3 linked regions of the Caenorhabditis elegans genome follow. The protein of the gene in region 1 purifies or fractionates together with the protein of each later gene. This does not show direct contact. Each region holds a gene or a part of one and is shown in the gene's direction. Other genes may lie near its edges. The genes, in order: krr-1, B0280.9 and mppa-1.

The links.
Region 2: the proteins of krr-1 (region 1) and B0280.9 fractionate together in Caenorhabditis elegans (co-fractionation; one large-scale study listed by BioGRID). This does not show direct contact.
Region 3: the proteins of krr-1 (region 1) and mppa-1 fractionate together in Caenorhabditis elegans (co-fractionation; one large-scale study listed by BioGRID). This does not show direct contact.

Annotation. Positions count from the first base shown.
Region 1 is NC_003283.11:7,228,044-7,235,905, forward strand, and holds krr-1 (KRR1 small subunit processome component), read left to right. Parts: upstream 1-3,146; coding exon 3,147-3,302; intron 3,303-3,501; coding exon 3,502-3,968; intron 3,969-4,018; coding exon 4,019-4,330; intron 4,331-4,388; coding exon 4,389-4,566; 3' UTR 4,567-4,693; downstream 4,694-7,862. Other genes in the region: gei-6 (GEX Interacting protein), read right to left, coding at 1-160, 214-801, 849-1,886, 1,933-2,316, 2,363-2,477, 2,522-2,680, 2,728-2,802; C05C8.5 (Exonuclease domain-containing protein), read right to left, coding at 4,694-4,973, 5,021-5,592, 5,641-5,941, 5,999-6,273, 6,318-6,448, 6,494-6,631, 6,683-6,770; hpo-9 (BTB/POZ domain-containing protein 9), read right to left, coding at 6,976-7,409, 7,457-7,569, 7,788-7,862.
Region 2 is NC_003281.10:7,117,710-7,125,991, reverse strand, and holds B0280.9 (U3 small nucleolar RNA-associated protein 18 homolog), read left to right. Parts: upstream 1-3,096; 5' UTR 3,097-3,100; coding exon 3,101-3,256; intron 3,257-3,361; coding exon 3,362-3,437; intron 3,438-3,483; coding exon 3,484-3,692; intron 3,693-3,740; coding exon 3,741-3,921; intron 3,922-3,972; coding exon 3,973-4,073; intron 4,074-4,130; coding exon 4,131-4,224; intron 4,225-4,271; coding exon 4,272-4,404; intron 4,405-4,642; coding exon 4,643-4,982; 3' UTR 4,983-5,087; downstream 5,088-8,282. Other genes in the region: B0280.2 (uncharacterized protein), read right to left, coding at 1-158, 552-685, 731-822, 1,046-1,138, 1,225-1,305; rpia-1 (Probable-ribose 5-phosphate isomerase), read right to left, coding at 1,834-2,133, 2,258-2,500, 2,548-2,700, 2,748-2,807. UniProt on the Caenorhabditis elegans protein: Involved in nucleolar processing of pre-18S ribosomal RNA.
Region 3 is NC_003279.8:1,746,390-1,755,407, reverse strand, and holds the start of mppa-1 (Mitochondrial-processing peptidase subunit alpha), read left to right. Parts: upstream 1-4,352; coding exon 4,353-4,673; intron 4,674-6,712; coding exon 6,713-7,121; intron 7,122-9,018. Other genes in the region: lin-65 (uncharacterized protein), read right to left, coding at 1-78; Y71G12B.10 (hydroxymethylglutaryl-CoA lyase), read right to left, coding at 1,093-1,409, 2,471-2,804, 3,549-3,761, 3,823-3,915. UniProt on the Caenorhabditis elegans protein: Substrate recognition and binding subunit of the essential mitochondrial processing protease (MPP), which cleaves the mitochondrial sequence off newly imported precursors proteins.

The DNA of each region.
Region 1 (7,862 bases):
AAATTAGTGAACCTGCCGACACTTGTACTGGCGGGGCCTGGGGTAGACGATGACGAAGGTGTAGAAGCGGCAGACACCATTTTGTTTGGCGGAACAGAATTTGACGTTTTTGCTTTTTTGGGTGGAGTCGCAGTAACACCGGACGGAGCAGGATTTGGCTCTGAAATAAATAAATAAATAATTTTCCAGTTAATAAATCTGAAAAAAACTTACTTTTCTGTACCTCTGCGGCTTCCTCTACGACGCGTTTTCTTGTACTCATTACTCGGTTCATCTCTTCCAAATAAGATTTCGAGTACGACGGAGTGCTTCCACCGCCACTAAAATTATCAGCTTGAACTTTAGAAAGAGCTTCAAATAGAGAATTAGAAGCAGCTGCTGAAGTGGATTTTGCCAGTTTTTCCCACGGATTCGGTTGAGAAGAAGGTGCAACCTTCGGCCTCTCTGATTCAGCATTCGGCGGTTTCAATGGAACTCCAAAAGCAGAAACCGATTTTGGAATGGAAGGCGCCGGAGCATTCAATTTTTCTTTCGGAATCCATGATTCAAAACCGGACGCGATTTGTGGCGGCGCCTTCTTTTCAACAATTTGTTGTATCAACGGCTTGGCGACAGCTTTCGGTGCAGGATTTAGTGTAGCTTGAGGAGATGAATGAGGTGGAGTGTCAACTATCTCCCCATCTTCCGGAGGAGAAACCCTTTCAGGATCATTCGGTGTACACGCCACGCTTCTCGGTGTTGTTATACTTTTAGGCGTTGCAGCGATTTCAGCGATTTTGTCCAGCAGCTCTTTATCCTTTTCTGAAAATTAAATATTTTGAAATTTAAATAATTAGAAAAATAATAACCTTTCAAAGTATGAGTCAATTTTATGACATCTTTCTTGTAGCGTTCCGCATATGCTTTCCAAGAATCACGTTCGTATTTTATCGAATCACAATCTTTACCCAATTTCTGTGCAGCAGACTCGAATAACGCGGCTCTCTCCACCGCATCATTCCTTTCCTGATTTGCCCGTGCACATTTTTCAGTCATTTCAGCCACTTCCATCGTCATTTTTTTGCGTATCTTCTCGACAGTTTTGCAGCGAGTACACGTCTCGTTATCCGCCAGAAAAAGTCGATCATTCAAGTTCTTCACAGCAGTTTCCGCCTGTTCGATGGCTTTATTTTGTTCTTTTTTGCATACATCTCTTGCTCGCAGATAGAATTCAGCTCGATCCTTCTCATATGTTAGTTCTTGTTGGAGGAACTCAACTTTTGCCAGCAGAGCGCTGTACTCCAATTTCTGATCTTCTGCGTTTTTTTGCATCTGTTGCTTATAAGCTTCATATGTCCTTGTCTGGCTTTTTATTACTGCTACAACCTCGGCTTCATGAGCTTTGAATTCTTCTTTTCTCTCAACCAAATCAGCACGAATATTTCGGAAACTGTCGGAAAATTCGAGTCGAGTAGACCTTCCGAAGTCTTTCAACGTTTTCACTGCCAACAGACTTTTCTCCTCGTTCTCTTCATATTTTAAAATTCGCTTCTCCTGCTCGCTAATCGTTCTAATCATAAGTAGAAACTTTTTCTTCAAAACCATTGGCATATCATTTAACCGAGCAGCAACCGGCTCTCCAAGGGCATCTCTGACAGTTGTATTGAAGCATTCCTTGAGATATGTTGATTTCAATAAGAGATCCGTATCGGTTTGGCAGCAAGTTTCCGCAGTTTTGGACACATGTGACGTTATAGGAGAACTTTTGAAAAATTCAGAAGTATGTGTTGGCTTTGTTGATACACTCGAAATCGTCGCAGCTCTTGGTGAGATTTTTATGGGTCGACCTCTCTTTTTGTCGATTGGTGTGACAGTTGGCGTATTTCTTAATTTAGTTTCTCTCGGACCTGAAAATAAAATATTTGGCAACAATATTCGAAAACTCGTACTTACGAGCATTTTCTTGGTCCTTTTTACTGATTTTCTCGGAACTCGTGGACTGAACTTGAGAGACTTTGGCTTTGCTCTTCTTCCGAGTTCCCCAATTGTTTTTCTTTGATTTTCCACCAAACGCATTTTTGGGTTTCTTTTTTGGGATGGTGGTTTTTTGTTCAGGTGTTTCCTCATCACCATCATCCTCATCGATGCCTTCATCATCTTCTTTAGCAATTTCTTCGTCCTTCTCATCCGAATTCCCATTAGTCGACGTGTCAGAATTGGAAACTCCCGAACCTTTTTCAGGTACTTGACATACACTATTTGAGCGTGAAGCGGATCTGGCTCTTTTCTGAGAACGAAGGAATTCAAGTCTTTCACTATTGGACAATATTCTTCCATCTGAAATTGTAATTTTAAATTTTCTATAAAAGTATCGTGTCTCTACCTTCATTCACAAACGAAAATACTCCTCTGACTTTCTTGGAGGACATTCCAAAAAAAGTTTTGCAATTACTGCAATAGCTTTTGAAGATATCCTCTGTTTTGCCGCCACTCGCTGGCTGAAATTTTTCCAATTTGTTTTAGCTTATCCTGTACAACCAACCTGGCGCTGCTTGAAAAACGATAGCGTAGCCAATACTGAACACGTATCGCATTTTACAGGATCAGTGGGCTTTAGTACTGACAACGAAGAAGTAGTCGAATCATTCGAGCTTTCATCAATTGGCGAATCATTATTCTCCGATGATGTTCCCTCGATTGGCTGAACAAGATTATAATGAAATTGAACGCAACAAAATAAAAAATTACGTCAATCTGATCAGTCGGATGCGCAGAAGGCAAGTATACGCTATGGTCCTCTGCTTCAGTTGTTGCGCCGTTCATTACCTGCCACTTATTTGTTTAAAAAAACAGGTAAAATAGACGCAAATTGAAACAAGATTTAACTTTCAGAATTATATAAAACACAAAAACAGTTAAAACATAAGAAAAGCCAGCAGAAGCAGTGTAAATTCCGCACAGAAAAATTAATCGACAAACCAGTGGGCGGAGCGTGAAGCAGGAGTCGCAACCCCCGCGCACTTTTTATGCAATGCTGCCGCACGAATTCCTCTCTCAGTTTTTGTTCCCTTTTTCTTCATTTTTAATCAATTTCTTCTGATTTTTTTTGTATATAACTTTATTTTATTTTGTATAAAACATTAAATATTAATTAAAAATAATTTAAGATGAGCAACGTTGACAAAAAAGCTAAACCTCGTGGAGAATACGAGCCCGAATGGGCTGGTGAACCGGAGGAAGAGAAGAAGACGCGGAAAGAGACTGCAAAAATGTTCGGACCACAGAAAGATGCAGAGTGGTGGGATATTAACACTTTCAGCAAGGTATGTTTTTGATATTGTATTCTAAATAAATATATTTCGATTTTTGAAGTTACCTGCTAAATTTACTTAAAACTAATTTTAAAATCTCCAAAACACTAAATATTTTCTGAAAAATTAAATGTTAAGCAATGAAAAAAGTTGGTTCCATGTAATTTTTCTCTTGTAGTATGAACCTGAAGAAAATGAATACATTTTTCAGGAAGACAATCCGAATGGTCTACTCCAAGAGTCATCATTTTCTTCATTATTCCCCAAATATCGCGAAAAGTATATTAAAGAAAGTTGGCCACTCATCGAAAAAGCTCTAGGAGAGCATTTCCTGAAAGCAGATTTGGATCTCCTCGAGGGAACAATGTGTGTCCGAACTACTCGTAAAACTTGGGATCCTTATATAATCATGAAGGCTCGCGAGGTCATCAAGCTTCTATCCCGTAGTGTGCCTTATGAACAAGCGATTCGTGTTCTCGAAGATGAAATCTATTGCGAGATTATCAAAATCTCTTCAATGGTTCGCAATAAAGAACGATTTGTGAAGCGTAGAGCTCGGCTAATTGGAAACGATGGTGCTACCTTGAAAGCTCTCGAATTGCTGACACAGTGCTATGTTTGTGTTCAAGGAGGAACTGTTTGTGCTGTTGGACCGCTTGCTGGACTGAAACAAATCAAGTGAGTTGAAAATATATTCTGACTCTCTTTGAAATCATAAAAAATTTCAGTCAAATCGTCACTGATTGTATGAAAAATATTCACCCAATCTACAATATTAAAACTATGATGATCAAAAGGGAATTATCTAAAAATGATGAATTGAAAGATGCAAACTGGGATGCTTATCTTCCAAACTACCGAAAGAAGGTTCAATCTGCAACTACAACAAAGGAAGCAAAGAAGAAGAAGGCTTACAAGATGAAGCCCAAGAAGGAGTTCACTCCGTTCCCACCGGCTCCAGTTATGAGCAAGATTGACAAGCAGATTGAAAGCGGAGAATATTTTATTCGCGAGAACGAAAGAAAGATGAACAAAAAGAGGTAAGTATTCTTAATTCAAAAATCGTAACGGAATTTAATAAATTTATGAAATTTTCAGAGCGAAATTGGAAGCATCGGCGGTGAAGACTGTGGAAAAACAGAAGCAAAAGTTGAAAGTGTATCAAGCAAAAGAGGAAGCTCCGCGAGAAAAACAGAACAAGAAGCGACCGAACGACGCGCCGATCGATTTGGAAAAGCTGAAAAAGAAGGCAAAGCTCAGTAAAGCCGCCAAGTAAATTTTATGATTTCACTGTTTCGTTTCTTTGTTATCAATGTTGTTGTTTTGTTGGAAATTGAAGTTTAAATTAAACCAAATTTTATTTGTTATTCATTTTATGAGAAACTTAATATTAAAAAAAAAGATTATTTGACTCTTACATAGAGCACGTTTTTAGTGGAATTAGACAAGATCATCATAATCAGTGAGTTTTTAGCCGTGGCGGCAACCAGTTTTTCAAGAATCCGATTCAGTGCCTCCGCGTTGTCAGGAACTTCTCCTTGCTCTGAATCAGTTTCTTCCAATGGTTCTATTTTTTCTTTGTCAATCTCCACGAGGATTACACTGTCATTGAGCATTTCAGAAGCTACACTGTTGACGAATCCATTATAGGAGGGAAAAGAGGAATGAAGTTTTGAGCGGACCCTGAAATAAATTAGGTACTTAAACTTTATTATTTTTAAATATCTTACTTTTTTGATATGGGAGGACAGTCGAGAATAGCAGTATCGAAAGCACACATCACAGATTTCATTTTATCCTTTTTCAAATAATTCCCGATTGGAGATGCTTTCTTTTCATGATCCACATCAAGTGTATCCTGCCAATGAAAATCTCCTTGGGCACTTATCCCGATCTTCACACAATGCACACATTTCGAAGGAGTCGATACAAATCTGCATCTGCAATTGGCAACTGTGCAAGCAACAACTGTTGGCTGAGAGCAATCAGTACACGGTTTTGATGTGATTTCAGCAGCCGTGACAATTTTCTTCTCAACTGCTCCATTGTTTTTTGCGTATTCAGAATATTTCCATCCGAAGCTCACGTTCCCGAACATCAATCCTTTTTCGAGTTTCAGCTGAGCGAGGCGCATCGCTGCCCACGCATCTTCATACGAGCAATGACCGAATTCTGATTGAATTTGTGCTCCGAGAAAGAGTTCCGTCAAATTTTTGAGACTATTTCGGAATTCTGTGTTGCTATTCGTATAGTTGAGAACATGACCAACGTCGAGACAAAATGGATGTGTCATTTTCATTGCCTGTAATTGGTTTCAATAAAATAGGAAATAAACTGAAAATTCGAATACCTGTAGATCGTGCTCTAATGAGTGTCCAACAAGAATTGCATCCGGCGGTAACAAGCTCTGAATAGCTTTTTGAACATCTCCAAGAGTCGTCGTTACTCCTTCCATCATATCCGGTGTAATTCCAGACCATCGCGTCACATAATCTGTGATTCGACCTTCTGGTTTCACAAGAGTATCTAGAATCGTATTCTCGAATTCATCCACTATCGATATTCGTGTAAGTTCTCGATTCGCAACGTCTGTTTCACACATCTCACAGTCAACAGAAAACATTGGAGATGAAGCTGATATTTTTTTATATCTGAAATTTTAAATAAAACTTAATCTGCACTGAAAACAAGTAATATCGCTAATTTACCCTTGTTTAGTGGGTACAACACCTTCTTCACCAGGAAATGGGTAGCGTCGTTGAGCCAATTGTTCAGTTGTGAGCACAAAATGCGATTTATCGTGTTTTCCGTCTCTATCATAAGTTTTTTGCATTATGACAGACTTTCTCCGAATCTGTTCCTGAATAGTAAGCCGGACTTGCATAATGCTGTTCCAGAACAATCCACGATCACTGACATCTGAATCCAACTCTATCCATTGCTTTTCAAAGAATTCACTAAGAAAGCTTAGATTCGTTGTCGTCTGTAATGATTTCAGCGATTTAGGTTTTCAATGCAATCCCTTACGAAAAAATCGTCATCCACATTGACACGAACCACTAGGTTCTGAAGGACATTTCTATGATGGGATAGACTGACCCATCTGGGCTTTTGGAGTGATGATCCAAATATGCTGAAGTGAATAAACTGAGCCAGAGCTGGAAAACTATGCGAAAATTGTGGATTTTAAAGTGGATTATTACTTTCGCAGTCTAATCGATGGCCATCACCTAGTCGGGACAGCCTTAACTCTAATTTTGGCTTGGATGGATCATCACTACTTGTACTAGGAGACTTGGTTGGTTTTTCAGAGCTTGTTAATCGACGTCTTTTTGTTGCACCTGAAATTAATTTCTTTTCCTGGAATTTATTTTTTTATTTATTCCCCTTACATTGAAATTCATGTTCTGCTTGTTCTGGTGATTTGAATAGGTTTTCTATCTCTGATTTGAGACTTTTCCTCAGTTCTCGCTTCGCCATCCCTCTCAAAAATCTGAAAAAAACGGTTAGAATTTCAAGAATAAAGAAAATAAAAAAATAAATTTATTTTCGGTGTGTGGCGTCCGTGTATGTGGTTTTTTTTCAAAAGAAATTATTAACATTTTTATTCAATAAATTTAATAACTTATTTTTCATCAGACATTTAAGTGAAATAATGCATTATATATATTTCTGTAACCCGGTTTTATTTTATGGCAATTGGAACGTTTGAGGGAGCCTCGAGATGTACAACGTGAAAGACTTCGTTTATGGAATTCCGGGTACCAACAAGTCGAATATACACAACTGGAAGAGGATCAAATATGAGTTCTTGCCATCCATGACATTCTTCATTGGTGCGGTCGACAATCGTAACCCATTCGTCTTGATTCTTCGATACGGCAACATAATACGAGTAGAATCGATCATCACAATTCCATAACAAAATTCGCATTGAAGATATAATGTAGGGCTGAGCAAGTTGAATCATGATGAGACCACTTCCAATTTGATGACACGTGTATCCAGTATCCCAGTCGTAGGATGAGGAATCCCCGTTGATAAGAGCATTCCGACATCGAGAAACTCCTTCAACAACCCGTGCGTGATTTTCTATCGTTGTGATGTTTCGATGAGGAACTGAGAAAATTGAAATTATATTACATTTCCACAGCAAAATGTGATACCTATGACTTTGTGCACAGGTTCGACAGGCATTGTTTCGGTAGAGAACATGGCTTCGATTCGACTTCCTTCCAGTTTACACGACATTGAATTGTTGACTCGGATCAAAATATGCCTGAAATGCAAATTATGGTGAATAATTTTCGAGTTTCACGGGTTTTCTGTAGAAAATTACTATAGGCGCTGTAGTTTTTTTTCGAAAGTTTTAAATGTTTCGGAAAATGAATAAAAAATAGATCAATTAAACTTCGCCCGTTAGTTCCAAAACCGCCGAAATGTTTTTGAATTTCTACTATTAATGCAATGGATTTTACAATAAAATCAATCACTTACCGCACAACAGAATCTGTGAAGAAGAGTCTTTGTGTTCCTCGACAATCATATTCCGAGTAATCAGCAACTAGATTC
Region 2 (8,282 bases), on another chromosome or scaffold:
CAACTTCACACCATCAACATGCCGAAAATCTGTTGGTGCTTCAATTTCAACTTGTTTTCTTGGTTCCCTGTGGGATTTGAATGGATCATGAAAGAAACTACTTTTCTTCTTCGTCTTTCCCTCCAATGCTGGCTGCTTTGCTTTATCGGTACTTCTCGCTGAAATTTAAGGCTTGTGTATTATAGCCCCATATTTTGAAAATAAATTAGTAATTGTTGTATTTTCCCATTTATTAAAAATGTGAATATCATTTTCGAATAGTAAGCCTAAGAATCTATATATAAAAGTCACATTCAAAATCTAAAAAGATAAATTTTACAAATGTGGGGTTATCATACACAAGTACCGATTTAGGGTTCTATCTTGCATATATTAGAACTCAAGTTACCGTATTCTACCTATTTCTGTAATAAAAGCAAAGATAGACGGAAATATAAACATTACCCTATTATTATTGAACTCAAAAATTGATTTAAGAAATAGTATTGTACATAATAAAAATATGGAAAAAGCGATATTTTTCCAACTAGTTTAATAATCGAATTACTCACTTTGTCGTTTGCAAACACTATTGTGAAAGTTCTCACATTCCTTTGAGTCGTAAAAGTTCAATCCAATGTATCTGGATTCTGCCTCAAAAACGAGTAACCTTGCATGTTCCTGCATTGTTTCAAACTTTTTGTCTCTATAATCATAGTGTTAGTTGAAATTAAATTATATTCAAGATTACCTAATAAGAAAATCAAATTGAACTGTTGGTTCCCAATCTGGATCTGCAGATGGTTCCATTACTATTATCCGGTAATATCGTTCCGTACTGTTCTGAAAAATTGAATTAATCGTCTGTTGAGTTTGAGTATTTCTTTGCAAAACTAAATTGGATTTTGCAAACAATCCTACTGCGACTCACTTCGAAAAAAGTATACATTTCTCATTTTGAAATAATTAATCTAGATTAATTGTTTGTTCTTCTAGTAGTTTTCATATGATAACATCTTTGCAGCTTTCTACCACAGTTCATCTTTTTAAAATTTATCGTACTTACTTTCAAAAACAATGCCACAGCGGTTCCCCCATTCGGTATCCGCCAATGCCCATTTTCAGAAAAAAGAAGTTGACAAATACCTGATGAAAGTATCTGAAATGAGCACAAGCTAGTTGAATTGAAACTACATTTGTCTTTAAGCAGAGACCGTGCCTATCTCTTAGTGCACAAAATCATACCTTATCGCTTGCCGATATTCCTCTTAGAACACTATTTTTTTCGTTGATCTCGAGGAAATCACTCAATTCAGATGTAATCATTTGGAAATTAAAATTTGAACAATCTGGAATGAATAGAATACGAATGATACGATTTGACGAAAGTGCTTTTTAATACAGCAATTGTTAAAAATTTTGAAATATTTACTTATTTCCCAACTTTATCAGTATTTTTGAAATTATTGCTCGCTCTTAATTTTACCGCCTCCAATGAGTCATTTAGGAAGCAAATTCTCATTTCTTTCAATCTTTAAGCTATCCTCGCCATTCATACACTTCAAGACTACTGTAATTTGAAATTAAACAGTTTCAGACACTTTACATCCAGACACTTTACATTTCAAAACGTTTTCAGAGTTTTCTAATTTTTTTTTCAGTTTTTTAAGAAAGACGTTTTTTCAACACAATTTTTATTGGGGCTATTCTAAGAACTACACGTATACTAGGAACATTGGGAATGAATGGGTACAATTTTCACAACAACTGGGAAGAGGAAAAGTGAAGTTTGGAGAGTGTGGTGGTGATAAGAAACAACTAATTTTCAATATGAACAAAATTCGATGCAAGTAGTCAGTGCTTCTTGGAATTGACAATTTCCTTGACAGATCCGTCAGAGTACGCGAAGAATACTGCGTCGACGCAACCGATGAATAATCCGGTTTCAACAATTCCTGGTGTATTGGCCAATCGTTGCTGAATCGCGAACCAATCTCTTCCGGATACGTTTTTCTCGAACTGCCAATCAATAATGAAGTTTCCATTGTCTGTCACAATTGGTCCGCACTTTTTGACAGCTTGTCGAAGTTGACAGCTTCCACCTTCAGCGCGTGGAATCGAACGTAGAAGTGGTTGAGCAGCAAGAGGTAGAACCTGCAATAAATCTCATTAAAAACAGTCAACATAACTACATCTATTTAGAAAAAACTATTGTTCTAAAGTTTATTCTTTAGTGCATCTTTCTTTACTGATAATTATAAAAAGTTAAATAATTTACCTCAATTGGGACATTCGGATAGCGATCACCCAAGTGTTTGGAATCTTTTAAATAATCAGCGATCACGTAAAAGTTTTTTGCAGCGGTTTGAACAATTTTTTCTTGAGCCAGACATCCACCTCCGCCTTTGATGCACGTGAACTGTCCGTCAACTTCATCAGCTCCATCAATACACACATCCAGTTCTGGATGTGAATCCAAATCGGAGACAGGGAGACCAGACTCAATCAGCCATTGTTTTGTCTGAAATACTTATTTATAACAATTGGGTTTGTTGAAAATCTGTTTACCAAAAAACTGGTTGGAACACAGATGATATCCTTGAGACTTCCATTCTGAAATCCTTGTTTAAGATATTCTACCAAATACTTGACAGTGCTTCCGGATCCAACACCAAGACGGCAACCACTTTGCACATATTTTTCACCGCAGGCAAACGCAGCCTGAAATGATTAATGAGGGTTGGAATTGGTCTTAATTTTTGACTTACTCGTTTCTTCGCCTGCTCAATAGGAGCCAGTTCTGCTTCAGGGCCGGTGGAGGTGACCATTCTGGCGGTTCGCAATACTCCTGATAATGGAAATTTTGTAGAAAACATACAAAAATGCTGAAAAGAAAACGAAAACAATAGTAAATTGATAAGAAAGACTGAAATTTTCAGCTGAAATACTGAAATTAATGAAATTCTGCATTGAGACGTGACGGTGTTTGCACTAAAACTACGATAACACACACTATTTGACGACAATTGCTTCTCATTTTTCTTTTTTCTTTTCCGAATTTTCTTTAATTTTCAGCTTATTGAATCTTTCATTAAGGTTATTTTGAACAATTTTCAGAGAAATGAGCAAACGGCCAGTGATTGAGTCTGAAAAGCCTGCGTGGCACGATGAGGACGACGATAATATGGTTGTGGCGGTTCCAAAAAAAGTGAAAATGACAATGCGAGTTGAACTCAAGCGAACCACAGACGAAGAACATGGAGAATTGGATTCAAAGGTAAATTTTTTTTAGAAATACGTTATTCAACGTGTAATAAAGATTATATAATTGAAAATAGGCAGAAGGATAAATTACTTCTGAAAAATAATTTTAATATTTTAGGAATACGTTGGTAGATTGCAAGAGGCGTTCAGAAAACGCCACGGAGGCACACCAAAATGGGCTAAGGCTGCTGCAGGTTTTTGGAAAATCAATAGTTCAAAAATCGTATTTTACAATTTTAGGAGACGAAGAAGAAGGGTCATTGTTGAAAACTGCTGCCGGATATTTGGCGAAAGACGTGAATTTACCAAAAACAACTATTCATACAACTCTTATAAAAGATTTCAACATCGGACACCGATACACTCGTGGAATCACTGTTGTTAAATTTCATAAAACCCGACCAGTGCTCATTGTTGCCGATCAAGGTGGAAATGTTCAACTTTTTAAAGTAAGTTGTGTTTTCTGTTTTAATTAAACCATTCCTTACTTATTTCAGGTAAGTCGTGAGGTTAAAAAGGATCGTTTCCTTCAAAGTGCGAATTTCTCAAAATTCCCGATTGATAGTCTGGAAATTGCTGATAAAGGACACTCTGTGATCTGTTCTTCAAGCCGAAAGGAATATTTGATGCAGTACAATATGGAAACAAGAGAAGTGACACAGTTGAAACCTCCAAACAGTACGTTTAATATTTAATAAAATTTGAAGCAAAACTTTGAACATTTTACAGCAGTACCAAAGCAAGGAATTCGGCTCTTTGCCATTTCGCATGACTCTCAATTTTTGGCAATTGCAGGACACAATTCTCACATCTATGTTCTCCATGCTACTGTATGTCAAAAAATTAAATTATTGGCAAATTAAAAGTTTAAATGTAAAATGTTTCAGTCGATGGAGCATATCACAACAATATCACTCCCAGCAAATGCGTCAGAAATCAAGTTTTTCCCATCGCACAGCCGTGAAATTTGGATCATCTGCGGTTGGTTTTATATTGCCAAAAATTCAAAAATTATTCGAAATTTCTAGAGACCGGCCAAATTGTGATCGCAAACATTGGATTGCCGGGAACCAAATCATCGCAACATACATTCACCGACGATGGAGCTGTGCACGGAACAACACTCGCCATCAGCCAACATGGAGATTACTTTGCGACTGGGTAAGCTTTTTTAAAATCAAACTTTTATAATTCGTAAAATCACGATACTGTCATTCATTCATATAATTCATATATTAATATAATTGTACAGTTTGCTACATCTTTTTTTTTGTTGATATTTTCAGTTTAGCAACAAAAATTTAAAAAAAAAAATCTTTTTTTGTTGAATTCCGGTGAAAATAAATGACCTAGTCTTTACATACATCCTGATTATATGATGAAAATTTGAAATTTCCAGAAGTGATACCGGAATCGTGAATGTCTATTCTGGAAATGATTGCCGCAATTCTACAAATCCTCGTCCACTTTTCAATGTTTCTAATCTCGTCACCGCGGTCTCATCAATCGCTTTCAATTCTGATGCTCAATTGATGGCAATTTGTTCAAATGTCAAGGACAATCATCTTCGTCTCGTCCACGTGGCAAGTCAGACAACATTCAAAAACTTCCCGGAAAGAAACGGAAAAGTGACACATGCAAGATGTGTGGAGTTTTCTCCAAATGGAGGATATATGGCCGTTGGAAACGATGATGGACGTCTTCATGTTTTTGAAATTCATCATTTTACAGACTATTAATTGGTTCTAACATTGTTATTCTTTTCTTTGTCGTTGATTTCGTCCAAATTGTTTTGTTTTTATTCTTCATCCGTTTTTTTGTTGTTATGAAAATTTATCGTTTTTATTCCAACTTCCAGAGCAGCTTTTGAACCACTGGAAGATTTAAAAATACAAACCGACGTTTGCACAAAAAATTCAAAAACAGTTGAACGTAGTCCTAGTCTGTACCGAAAAATGACTTGATCGTTCTTTGTACACTATAGTGACATAGAATTGTCTCAATAGTCGCCAGTTAGAAAAGGGTTGAACAACACAACGAACGATCGAAAATGACGAAAAATTAACAATGAATGTCAGTTTTTCACGTGAAGTCTGGTAGAATTAGTATAAGAGGAACAAGAAAAGTTTAATTTGTTTCTCCAAAGTCCGTTTTTCGGCAGATTTTTCACTGGAGCACAATAACCAATGGTCTCTTACCGACCTACTTGTCACCCGATTTTATTGTGTTTTGATGTCTTAATTCTAGAATTGTGATCGTTGATTATTTGATTGAGAGGAAAACGAATTCAGATTTCTTATCGAAAAACCTACAATTATAACTTTTCCGATCTGTCAATTTGGCCATTTTTTAATTATTTTTTTTGAAGATTAAAAAAAGTTACCGTTTATTCTCTATTAGTGCGGCATCCCCATTGTTCAACTTTGACATCTCATATCTCGGTCATCTCTTGATTTCAGCCAAAAAACTTTAGCTAAAATGCTTATTAAATCTTTTTCTATGCCTAATGTTTTTGAAATGTACAAAATCACCCAAAACCTTCGAGATATATGCAAGTTGAGCTATGTGGGTGCAGCACTGAAAGAGAATATACGATATATTACCATTTTCAGATAAAATCAACTGTTTAAAACTACATCGAATTAACAAATCTGTAAAAAATGTAACGGTCATTATGACTGAGATCGTGGCGAGACCCACTCAAAAAACAGTGTGTGTCTTTAAACTGATGACGGAAAGAAATTTCGTGAAATTATGTCCTCAGTATTGAAACTTGGCACTCAGAAGATTGTTGCTTTTATAAACTCAGTTCCACAAATTTTTTGGCGCCTGTACATAACGACGGAAAAACTGAAATCAAAATACACGTGCCTTCAAAGTACCTTCTCCAGATTTCAGCTTCCACACGATAATTGTTTTTCGAATAGAAGCTACGTATAAAGCCAAATGTTGATGTAATGCCCGCCTGATTATTATCATTGTAAAGTCCACTTCCTCTAGTAATACGACGATATCACAAAACTAACAATTATCATGAAAAATATGTTCTTTCTATAAGTCAGTTAAAAAATTTATTAAAGACTCAATTTAAAATATCAATTAAGATGTCAATGTTTTGGATTTAGGAACTAGAGATTAAAATTATTTATTTTCTAATGTATAGAGTTTATAAAGTCGACAGGCAGGCACAAAAACTAGTTACAAGACATGTGTAACTTTTATTCATTTTCCAATTTTCGATTGTATCACAAGTCTTTGACTAACTAAGTAAGAAGTAATATCATTTTTGGAAATCTTTCTCTGATTCCACCTGAATATTATCATTGCGACGAGTTATAATTCATGAATCTTCTATATTTACTCCTCAACAAATGTGACTCGTCTTGATCTTTAACTTGAGTGTTGAGCTGGATATCGTCGGATTTGAATAAGATAAGTGGGCGAAAAAATGATACGACATTTTTATTTAATTTATATTCCGAAGTGGTATAGTCAGAGCCTTTTCAAATTTTATGTTTTTTGAACGCAAATATCTGGAAAAATGTTATTAATATATCCAATTGAAATCAATTTTTGATCACAACCGATAGTATCTTTACATACACAAAACACAAATTCTTAGACATAGAAAACAGTTTTTAAGATGCAACCTACATTCTATCAATCAATTTTATAGTTTTTTATAAAAATTCTGACTTCGGAGATTGTATCTTTTTAATGACAGGTGGCTACAAGTATTTGTTTGTTTAACTATAAGGAGAGAGAGTATACTGCATTTATTCCTTGGTTAAAATCCAATAGAAGCATATCTTTATGTATTTCATTAAAGTTTCAAGTTGAAACGTCAACTAATGAAACATTTTCAGGTGTGTATAGAAATAGGGAAGGTGTGAGCCATCCAGTGAGCAATTAACATTTTTGAGCCTACGTGGAGCTCTTTCTCCTGTGTATATTTGGAGCATGTTGACTTTTCGCATAGGACCAAATTTAATTAATTGTTTAAAATATTCGTCAAGGTAAGACGTCAAGTCATTTATTAAATTGTAGTGCACAAAAAGCCGTACTTCTGACTCATGTGTTCAACGTCAGATGAAAATAAATGCTCATTCAACCAAAGATTAGCTCGTTAGAAAAGTTCAGCGATCATAAGAGTTCATTAAGACTGCAAGTTCCAAAGAATCAGAGAGAAATGTCTGGCTTCTCTCTTTTTTTCCTTGATATTTCAGTGAGTCTCTTTGTGTTTCTACTTTGATTCAGGTATCTACAAGATATTTTAGTTTTATTTTTGTCTCGGTGTAGACACAAACGCGCATTCAATTCTAACAGGATTAAAAGAGCAATGCTGTAATATCTGGATTTCTGATCTTTTGGGAGGTATCTGTTTGAAATCAGATTCAACTTTTTGAGCAACTCTTCGTCTATTTAGATACTATTATTGGTACTTGTGTATTACATGCCCTCATTTTTTGAGTAATTTTTAAAGTTAAAAACAATAAAAACGTGTACCACATTTTTGTATTTCTAGGCTTAGGAAATATCCTTTTCTAAGCCTGAAGAGGAAAAATGTTTATCACGTTTATTTTAATTGGAGAAATTAATGAAAATTAAAATGAAGGCATGTAATACACAAGTACCCTATTATTTCCTTTTTCGGAGCGATTTTTGGTCGTTTCTAAGACATATTCGCCCAGATATCATGTTTCTTATTCACTCGTTTTCATGAATATTATATTTTACAAATTTTTGTTTTGTTAGATATTTTTATTGAAGCGATGTTGAACTATTTTTACGGTGAAATTGTGCAGTTTTAAATTTCGGTGCATGTTCGGCAATTGCCCAGAGTAGATTCAGAAATTTCCACAGTTCAATTAATTTTTTAAAGGTTTAACTAAAACAAATAAATATTAAAAAGAAAGTTTCAGGTGATTTTTGGCAGTAGGCATGTTTTTTGTATCAACCTAGAATGCCTAGACGATTACATAAACACCCTTTGCCAGAAAGCCAGAATAAAATGGTTTATCATTATACCTCATTTCATT
Region 3 (9,018 bases), on another chromosome or scaffold:
CTGATCATCATTTAATGGAGGTATTGGATCATCTGAAGCTTCTGTATTTAAGATACTTTCGTCGATTACTTCTGACATTCTGTAAAATTTTGAATAATTTAGAATTTTAGATGGGAAAAAATGGCAAAAAAAAAAGGATTTAAAAAGTCAGAAATTCAAAAAAAATTATTTAAAAAGTTAGAAATAGCCGATTTTTCAGGAAATATTCGAAAAATTCAGGAAAAAACTTTGAAATCAGGGGAAAATCTCGAAAAAAATCAAAAACAAATCTGAAATTTTTGGGGAAAACAGTTTTTTTTTACGAAAAAATTCAAAAATTTTGTGCAAATTTCGAGAAAATCCAGAGAAAAATGTGGTTTCTTGATTTTTTTCAAACAATTTTTCGAAAATCTCCAAAAAATCGTGAAAAACTCGAGGAATTGAAGGGAAAACTAGCAACAAAAAATCACAAAAATTGAGAAAAAAATATAGAAATCAGCTGAGAACTGGGGAAAACTCGGGAAAAATCTAAATTTTTGGGGGAAAATCAGAAAATTTTGGGGAATAACTTGCTTTTTTCGAGAAAAATTTCAAAATTTCGTACAAAATCCCAGAAAATTCAGAAAAAAAAATGCGGTTTTTTGATTTTTTTTCAAATAATTTTCCGAAAATTTCCAAAAAATCGTAAAAAAATCGAGAGTAGAATTCGGCTGAAAACCGGCAAAACTCGGAAAAAATCGGAAAATTTTGGGGAAAAAACCAAAAAAATCGGTAAAAACCTGCTTTTTTTTGAGAAATAATTCAAAAATTTGTACAAAATCCCAGAAAAATTCTGAGAAAAATGCGGTTTTTGAATTTTTTTTTTTGCAAACAATTCAATTTTCCGAAAATTTTCAAAAAATCGTGAAAAAATCGAGAAATTGAGGGGAAAACTAGCGAAAAAAAATCACAAAAAATGAGAAAAAAAAGATAGAAATCGGCTGAAAACCGGCAAAACTCAAGAAAATAAAAATCTGAAAAAAGTCTCTAATCTCTTTATTATTTCCTAAACAACCGGGGTAATTTTTACACGAATTTTTAAAAATTTTTTTAAATTTTTTACAGCACACATTTTCAGCAGCAGCTTTTGCTCTTTTTAGCCATCATTGCAGCTCCAACTCTCGACCATTTATCATATCCGGCGGCTTCATTAAACCATTTTGCAGTTTCGACAACTTTGTCCAAATTGACACCAGTTTCAAAACCGTTTCCTTTCAAAAAATACAATAAATCTTCAGTTGCAAGATTTCCAGTTGCTCCTTTCGCATATGGGCAACCACCGAGCCCTGCGATACTTGAATCCGCACTTCGGATGCCTTTTTCGATGGAAATGAGCACATTTGCGAGAGCTTGACCGTATGTGTCGTGGAAATGAACTGCGAGTTTTTCGGCTGAAATGGTGGTGATTTTTTGAAATTTTTTTTTCTTTCGAAAATAATTTTTTTTCACAGTTTTCCCGACTTTTTTCGCCTGAAAATCAATCGATTTTTCATTGAAATAACTCAAAAAACGATAAAAATCTCAATTTTCGCTGCGAGACCCACAATCTGTGGGGAAATTGACCGAATATCATGATAAAAAAATTCAAAAAATTTTTTCTAGATTTTATAAGATTTTTTTTTGATAATTGAAAAAATCTCAGTTTTCCCCTAATTCCTATTTGAATTACCGCCAATCGGATTTGACCGATGGAGCGCGCTTGCATTATTGGAATTAATTAATTTTATTTATTCTCATTATTCGACTGAATTTCTTCATTTCTTCTGTTTTTTTTTGTTGGAAAATGAAAGAAATAAAAAAGACATATGCAAAATGTTTGTTAAAAAGTAACTGAAAATGCCTAAAACTGTATTTTTTTTGAATTCTGACGACGGCAAGCCTGAAATTAGTATATTTTACAGTTTTATAAATAAAAATATATTTTGTAAAACTGTGAAATATACTAATTTCAGGTTTGTCGTCGTCAGAATTCAAAAAAAATTACAGTTTAAGGCATTTTCAGTTATTTTTTAACAAAAATTTTGCATCTGTCTTTTTTATTTCTTTCATTTTCCAACAAAAAAAAAACAGAAAAGAAGAAAATCAGTCGAATAATGAGAATAAATAAAATTAATTGATTAAAATAATGCAAGCGCGCTCCATCGGTCAAATCCAATAGGCGAAAATTCAAATATAATTATGTAAAAACTGAGATTTTTCAATTTTCAAAAAAAAATCATATAGTCTAGAAAAAAATTTTGAATTTTTTTATCACGATATTCGGTCAATTTCTCCACAGATTGTGGGTCTCGCAACGAAAATTGAGATTTTTATCGTTTCGTGAGTTATTTGACTGAAATCGATTGGTTTTCATGCGAAAAAAGCCGGGAAAACTGCGGGAAACTACTTTTTTTGTAGTTTTTCACTCGAAAAATCGAAATTTTAATATAAAATATTTAAAAAAATCCGCTACCTGGCACACTTTTCAGCACCGTATCCAGCATTTTCGACACAGTTTTCACTGTTCCAACGCCAATAGTGTCGCCCAGCGAGACCTCATAACACCCAGATTCTAGAAGCTTCTCGGCGACTCTGGCCACCATTTCCGGCTGTACAGCTCCCTGATACGGGCATCCAACGACGACTGAAACGTAGCCACGTACTCGAATATTGTTCTCGAGGGCGATTTTTGTGACTTCCATGAGCTTTTTCAGACTATCTTCCACATTGGAATTCACATTTTTCAGTGAAAACGCGTCTGAAGCTGCTCCAAATACGGCAATCTCTTCGACGACTCCTGTTGCGAGCTGGAAACTTGAGAAATTTGCAATTTTAAAGGTGGAGTAGCGCTAGTGGGGAAATTGCTTTAAAACATGCCTATGGTACCACAATGACCGAATATCATGATTAAAAATTTTTAAAAAAATTTCAAAATTTTATATGATTTTTTGAAAATTGAAAAAATCTCAGTTTTTGCCTAATTCCTATTTGAATTTCCGCCAATTGGATTTGTTCGATGGAGCGCGCTTGCACGTTTTTAAATTTATTTATTTTATTTTTTGTTATTTTCCACCGATTTTTAATGTTTTCAGTGTATTTTTGCTCGAATTTTAGAGAAAAAGCCAAGATAAATTCAAATTTTCGATTAAAAAGCACGCTGACAGGCGTAAATCAGTGAAATTAATTAATTCAGGTTCGAAATCATTTAAAAGCGTTACTTTGTCATTTTTACGCCTGTCAGCGTGCTTTTTAATCGAAAATTTGCATTTATCTTGGCTTTTTCTCTAAAATTCGAGCAAAAATACACCGAAAACATTAAAAATTGGTGGAAAATAACAAAAATAAATAAATTTAAAAACGTGCAAGCGCGCTCCATCGAACAAATCCAATTGGCGGAAATTCAAATAGGAATTAGGCAAAAACTGAGATTTTTTCAATTTTCAAAAAATCATATAAAATTTAGAAAAATTTTTTGAATTTTTTTACTATGATATTCGGTCATCCCCACTAGCGCTACTCCACCTTTAAGCCCTAAAAAATCAATAAAATACCGCGTTTTTGAGGCCAGCGGCGTTTGGAACCAGAACCGGGTAGGAGACACCTTCAAATCTCCGATGTTTCTTGACAATTTCGTTGTGATCAGCCAACTGGGGCACCCATTTCGGTGAGACGAAGCTTGTCGTCTCTACCGTTTGAAATCCGCACTCTGAGAGCCGATCGATGAGCTCGACCTTGATTTCGGTGGGAACGAACTTCTTTTCGGCCTGAAATTAAGAAAATAATGGATTTTTTGCAATTATTTTGCAATTTTCCAGGATAAATTACCTGTAAACCGTCTCGCGCGCCAACTTCCACCACACGAAATCGATTTATTGCTGTGGAGTAGGCACGGTTGGCCAGTAGGCGATTGGGCAGCATTTTTTAGCGCGCCTAAAAATATAAAAATAAGGTTTTCTCCATAAACATTAAAATTCGAGCGGTAAAGCAGAAGAAAACATATGAATTGCTCCTAAAAACTGATGGAAACAATGAGAAACTAAAAGAAAAAAATTATTGAGATTTTTCGATATTTTCTGCGGTTTTTTACTGTAAAGTATCAATATTTATCGTTTAAACAATAAAAATCAATAAAAATCCAATAATTTCAGCTAAAAATCAAAGAAAAATCAAAGAAAAACATAAAAAATAGATAAAAAATAAATAATTTTTATTCGAATCCCAAAAGTCCGCAAACACCGCACACCACATTTGACGACAAATTGCACACATTTATTTATTTAATCATTTTTTATTTATTTTTCTCGATTTTTTCAGTTTTTTACTCGAAATTTATCAAAAATACATTAAATTTTCAGATGCTCCTTCGGAAAAGCATCCCCTACATCAAAATATGCCGAGATATAAGCGCTTCCGTCCGAAATAACAAGGAAATTGCGCAGAAACTCCCGCTCTCCGTGCCTCTGCCAATGGAAAACAACTCCAAATCAATAGAAAAAGGATGCCCGCCAATGGGAAGAAACTCGAGGGTTACTAGACTTCCGAACGGCCTGAAAGTTTGCACAGAAGACACTTACGGCGATTTTGTGACTGTTGGCGTCGCGATTGAGAGCGGCTGCCGCTATGAAAATGGTTTTCCGTTTGGAATTTCGAGAATTGTGGAGAAACTTGCTTATAATGTAGGCTTTTGATAGGAAAAATTATGGAAAATTGGAAAAATTAGAGAAAAATATGATGCAAATCGGGAAAAAATGACGAAATTTGAGTTTTCTCGGGCCAGTTTCGGATTAATTTTTACCCGTTCTCCAAAAACCAATAAAACTCAAAAAATACGTTAAAAAACAAACTTAAAACAGAAATTTGCAACAAAAATTTAAAAAAAAACAGGAATTTCTACTGAAAAAGCTAAATTTTCAAAAAAATAACTTTTTAAAAACTTGGTTGAGTACCAAAATCTGTGGAAATATTTTTAATTGACTCCAAATTTTCCCCTGATTCCGAATATCAATGTGAAAAAATTCAAAAAAATTTCCCTGATTTTATATTTAAGCTTGAAATCGCCGAATTTCATTTGTACCTCGGAAACACTTTTTTTAAATTCGCGCCCAAAAATATTCGCATTGGAGCGCGCTTTGATTGTCTTCATTTAAATAATTTATTTATTTTTCGCCGAGTTCAGTTTTTTTAAAAACCAGTTTCATTAATTTTTGTCGAAAAATATTTTTTCTTAGAAAAACCGATACAGATTCGACAAAAATTAATGAAACTGGTTTTTAAAAAAACTGAACTCGGCGAAAAATGAAGAAAATATTCAAATGAAGAAAATCAAAGCGCGCTCCATGCGAATATTTTTGGGCGCGAATTTAAAAAAGTGTTTTCGAAGTACAAATGAAATTCGGCGATTTCAAGCTTCAATATAAAATCAGGGGAATTTTTTTGAATTTTAATTTTTTTCACATAGATATTCGGAATCAGGGGAAAATTTGGAGTAAATTAAAAATATTTCCACAGATTTCGCTACTCAACCAAGTTTTTTAAAAGTTATTTTTTTGGAAAATTTAGTTTTTTCAGTAGAAATTCCTATTTTTTTCTAAAATTTTTGTTGCAAATTTCTGTTTTTGAAGTTTAATTTTTTGAAAAGAAAATTTTGAATTTCTACGCATTTTTTGGGTGTTTTTGTTTTTTGGAGAACGGGGGTAAAAATTAATCCAAAAATGACCCGAGAAAACTCAAGTTTTGTAATTTTTTCGAAAAAAAAACCCTACAGAGCCAAATTTGCCCCCACAAACCAAAAATTTCCAATAAAAAACTAATTTTTCACAAAAATAAATAAATATATATATATATATATCCATGAGAAAATATCTGAAAATACGGAAAAATTGAAATGTTTCAAAAAAAAACCCTTACAATTAAGAAATTCTTGAAACATATATAGTCGGGTTACTGTAGTAGTACAATAGTGGTACGGTAGGAGTACTGTAGGGTTACGGTAGTTTAGGAAAAATTCGTTATATACATAATATATATACATACTATATATCCAGTATACATAGTATATATCATATATATATAGTTTCAAGAATAACTTAAAGGTGGACTAACGGATAAAATTTTTTATGGCGGTTCAAAATTTCGAAAAAATTACACTGATTTTAGCTAAAATCTCGAATTTTGCCTATTTTTCGGTGTCACATCAGTCCGAAGTTGACTTTTTCGGAATTATCATCCTTTATTGCATATATTGGTAGTTTATCTCATTTAATTTTGTTGATTAAGGTACATTTAAAGCCGATAGGTGACCAAAAATCGTCGAAATTGGTTACCGATCGGCTTTAATTGTACCTTAATCAACAAAATTAAATGAGATAAACTACCAATATATGCAATAAAGGATGATAATTCCGAAAAAGTCAACTTCGGACCGATGTGACACCGAAAAATAGGCAAAATTCGAGATTTTAGCTAAAATCAGTGTAATTTTTTCGAAATTTTGAACCGCCATAAAAAATTTTTGAAAAATTTTTGAGCAGTTTCATCACGAAATTCGTTCATTTGAGAACATTTTGGGTCTATACGTTCAAAATCGTCCGAACCGTTAGTCCTCCTTTAATTGTAAGGTTTTTTTTAATTTTAAAAATTTCCAAAATAGTTTTTTTTTGAAACTCGAAAATTTGTTAAAACTAATTTTTCCCAAAAAAAATTGCAAAATTTCCAGTCATCGGAATCGTTCTCAAGCCGCGACGAAGTCTTTGCAAAACTCGAGGAAAACAGTGGAATTGTGGATTGTCAGAGTACACGTGACACAATGATGTACGCGGCGAGCTGCCATCGTGACGGAGTGGATTCTGTAATTCACGTACTATCCGACACTATTTGGAAGCCAATTTTTGACGAACAAAGTCTCGAACAGGCGAAACTAACAGTTTCCTACGAGAATCAAGATCTACCGAATCGAATTGAAGCCATCGAAATTCTCCTTACTGACTGGATTCATCAAGCGGCTTTTCAGAATAATACTATAGGATATCCGAAATTTGGCAACAATTCGATGGATAAAATTCGAGTTTCTGATGTTTATGGGTTTTTGAGCAGAGCTCATACTCCTCAAAGAATGGTTGTTGGAGGTAATTGTGTTGTACTTCACGAGGAGAGGTTTCGATTTTTTTTTGTTGAAAAATCGCAAAAAAAATGTACAAAAAAAACCGTTGAAAATTAGAGAAAATATGGAAAAATTGAGCTTTTTCAAAAAAAAAACCTTTTCGGAAAATTTTATAATTAAAAAATTCTTACAGTACCTTACAAGTACTGTAAAAACCTTAAAGTTACAGTACTTGACTTACAGTAATCCTACAGTACCCCGACCATATCCCTCCACTAACCAAAAAACAAAACCGCTTCAAAAGACAAAAAATCAACTTTTTCCAAAACTACAATAATCCTACAGTACTCCTACAGTACCCCCACCATATCCCTCCACTGAACCCAAGCCAAAATCCATTCAAAAGACGAAAAGTCTTTTTTTCCAAAACTACAGTAATTCTACAGTACCTTTACAGTACTACCACAGTACCCCGACCATATCCCTACACTGAACCGAAACCAATATCTCTTCAAAAGACAAAAAATCAATTTTTCCAAAGCTACTCCTACAGTACCTCTACGTTACCCCTACAGTACCCCGACCATATTCCCCGACTAACCGGAAAGCTATATCCCTCCAAAAGAGAAAAATCAATTTTTTCCAAAACTACAGTAATCCTACAGTACTCTTATAGTAGCTCTACAGTACCTCTACAGTACTACTACAGTACTACTACAGTACCCCGACCTTATCCCCCGACTAACCGGAAACCCATATCCCTCCAAAAGAGAAAAATCAATTTTTTTCCAAAACTACAGTAATCCTACAGTACTCTTATAGTAGCTCTACAGTACCCCTACAGTGCCCCGACGATATCCCTCTACCGAACCAAAAAACAAAACCGCTTCAGAAGACAAAAAATCTTCTTTTTTTTCCAAAACTACAGTAATCCTACAGTACTACTACAGTACCCCGACCTTATCCCCCGACCAACCGGAAACCCATATCCCTCCAAAAGAGAAAAATCAATTTTTTTTTCCAAAACTACAGTAATCCTACAGTACTCCTACAGTACCCCTACAGGTCCCCTACAGTACCCCTACAGTACCCCGACCATATCCCTACACCAACCAAAATACAAAACCTCTTCAGAAGACAAAAAACCATTTTTTTTTCCAAAACTACAGTAATCCTACAGTACCTCTACAGTACTACTACAGTACCCCGACCTTATCCCCCGACCAACCGGAAACCCATATCCCTCCAAAAGAGAAAAATCAATTTTTTTTTCCAAAACTACAGTAATCCTACAGTACTCCTACAGTACCCCTACAGGTCCCCTACAGTACCCCTACAGTACCCCGACCATATCCCTACACCAACCAAAATACAAAACCTCTTCAGAAGACAAAAAATCATTTTTTTTTCCAAAACTACAGTAATCCTACAGTACCTCTACAGTACCCCGACCTTATCCCCCGACTAACCGGAAACCCATATCCCTCCAAAAGAGAAAAATCAATTTTTTTTTCCAAAACTACAGTAATCCTACAGTACTCCTACAGTACCCCTACAGGTCCCCTACAGTACCCCTACAGTACCCCGACCATATCCCTACACCAACCAAAATACAAAACCTCTTCAGAAGACAAAAAATCATTTTTTTTTCCAAAACTACAGTAATCCTACAGTACCTCTACAGTACCCCGACCTTATCCCCCGACTAACCGGAAACCCATATCCCTCCAAAAGAGAAAAATCAATTTTTTTCCAAAACTACAGTAATCCTACAGTACTCCTACAGTACCCCGACCATATCCCTCCACTGAACAGAAACTAATATCTCTTCAAAAGACAAAAAATCATTTTTTTTTTTCCAAAACTACAGTAATCCTACAGTACTCCTATAGTAGCTCTACAGTACCCCTACAGTGTCCCGA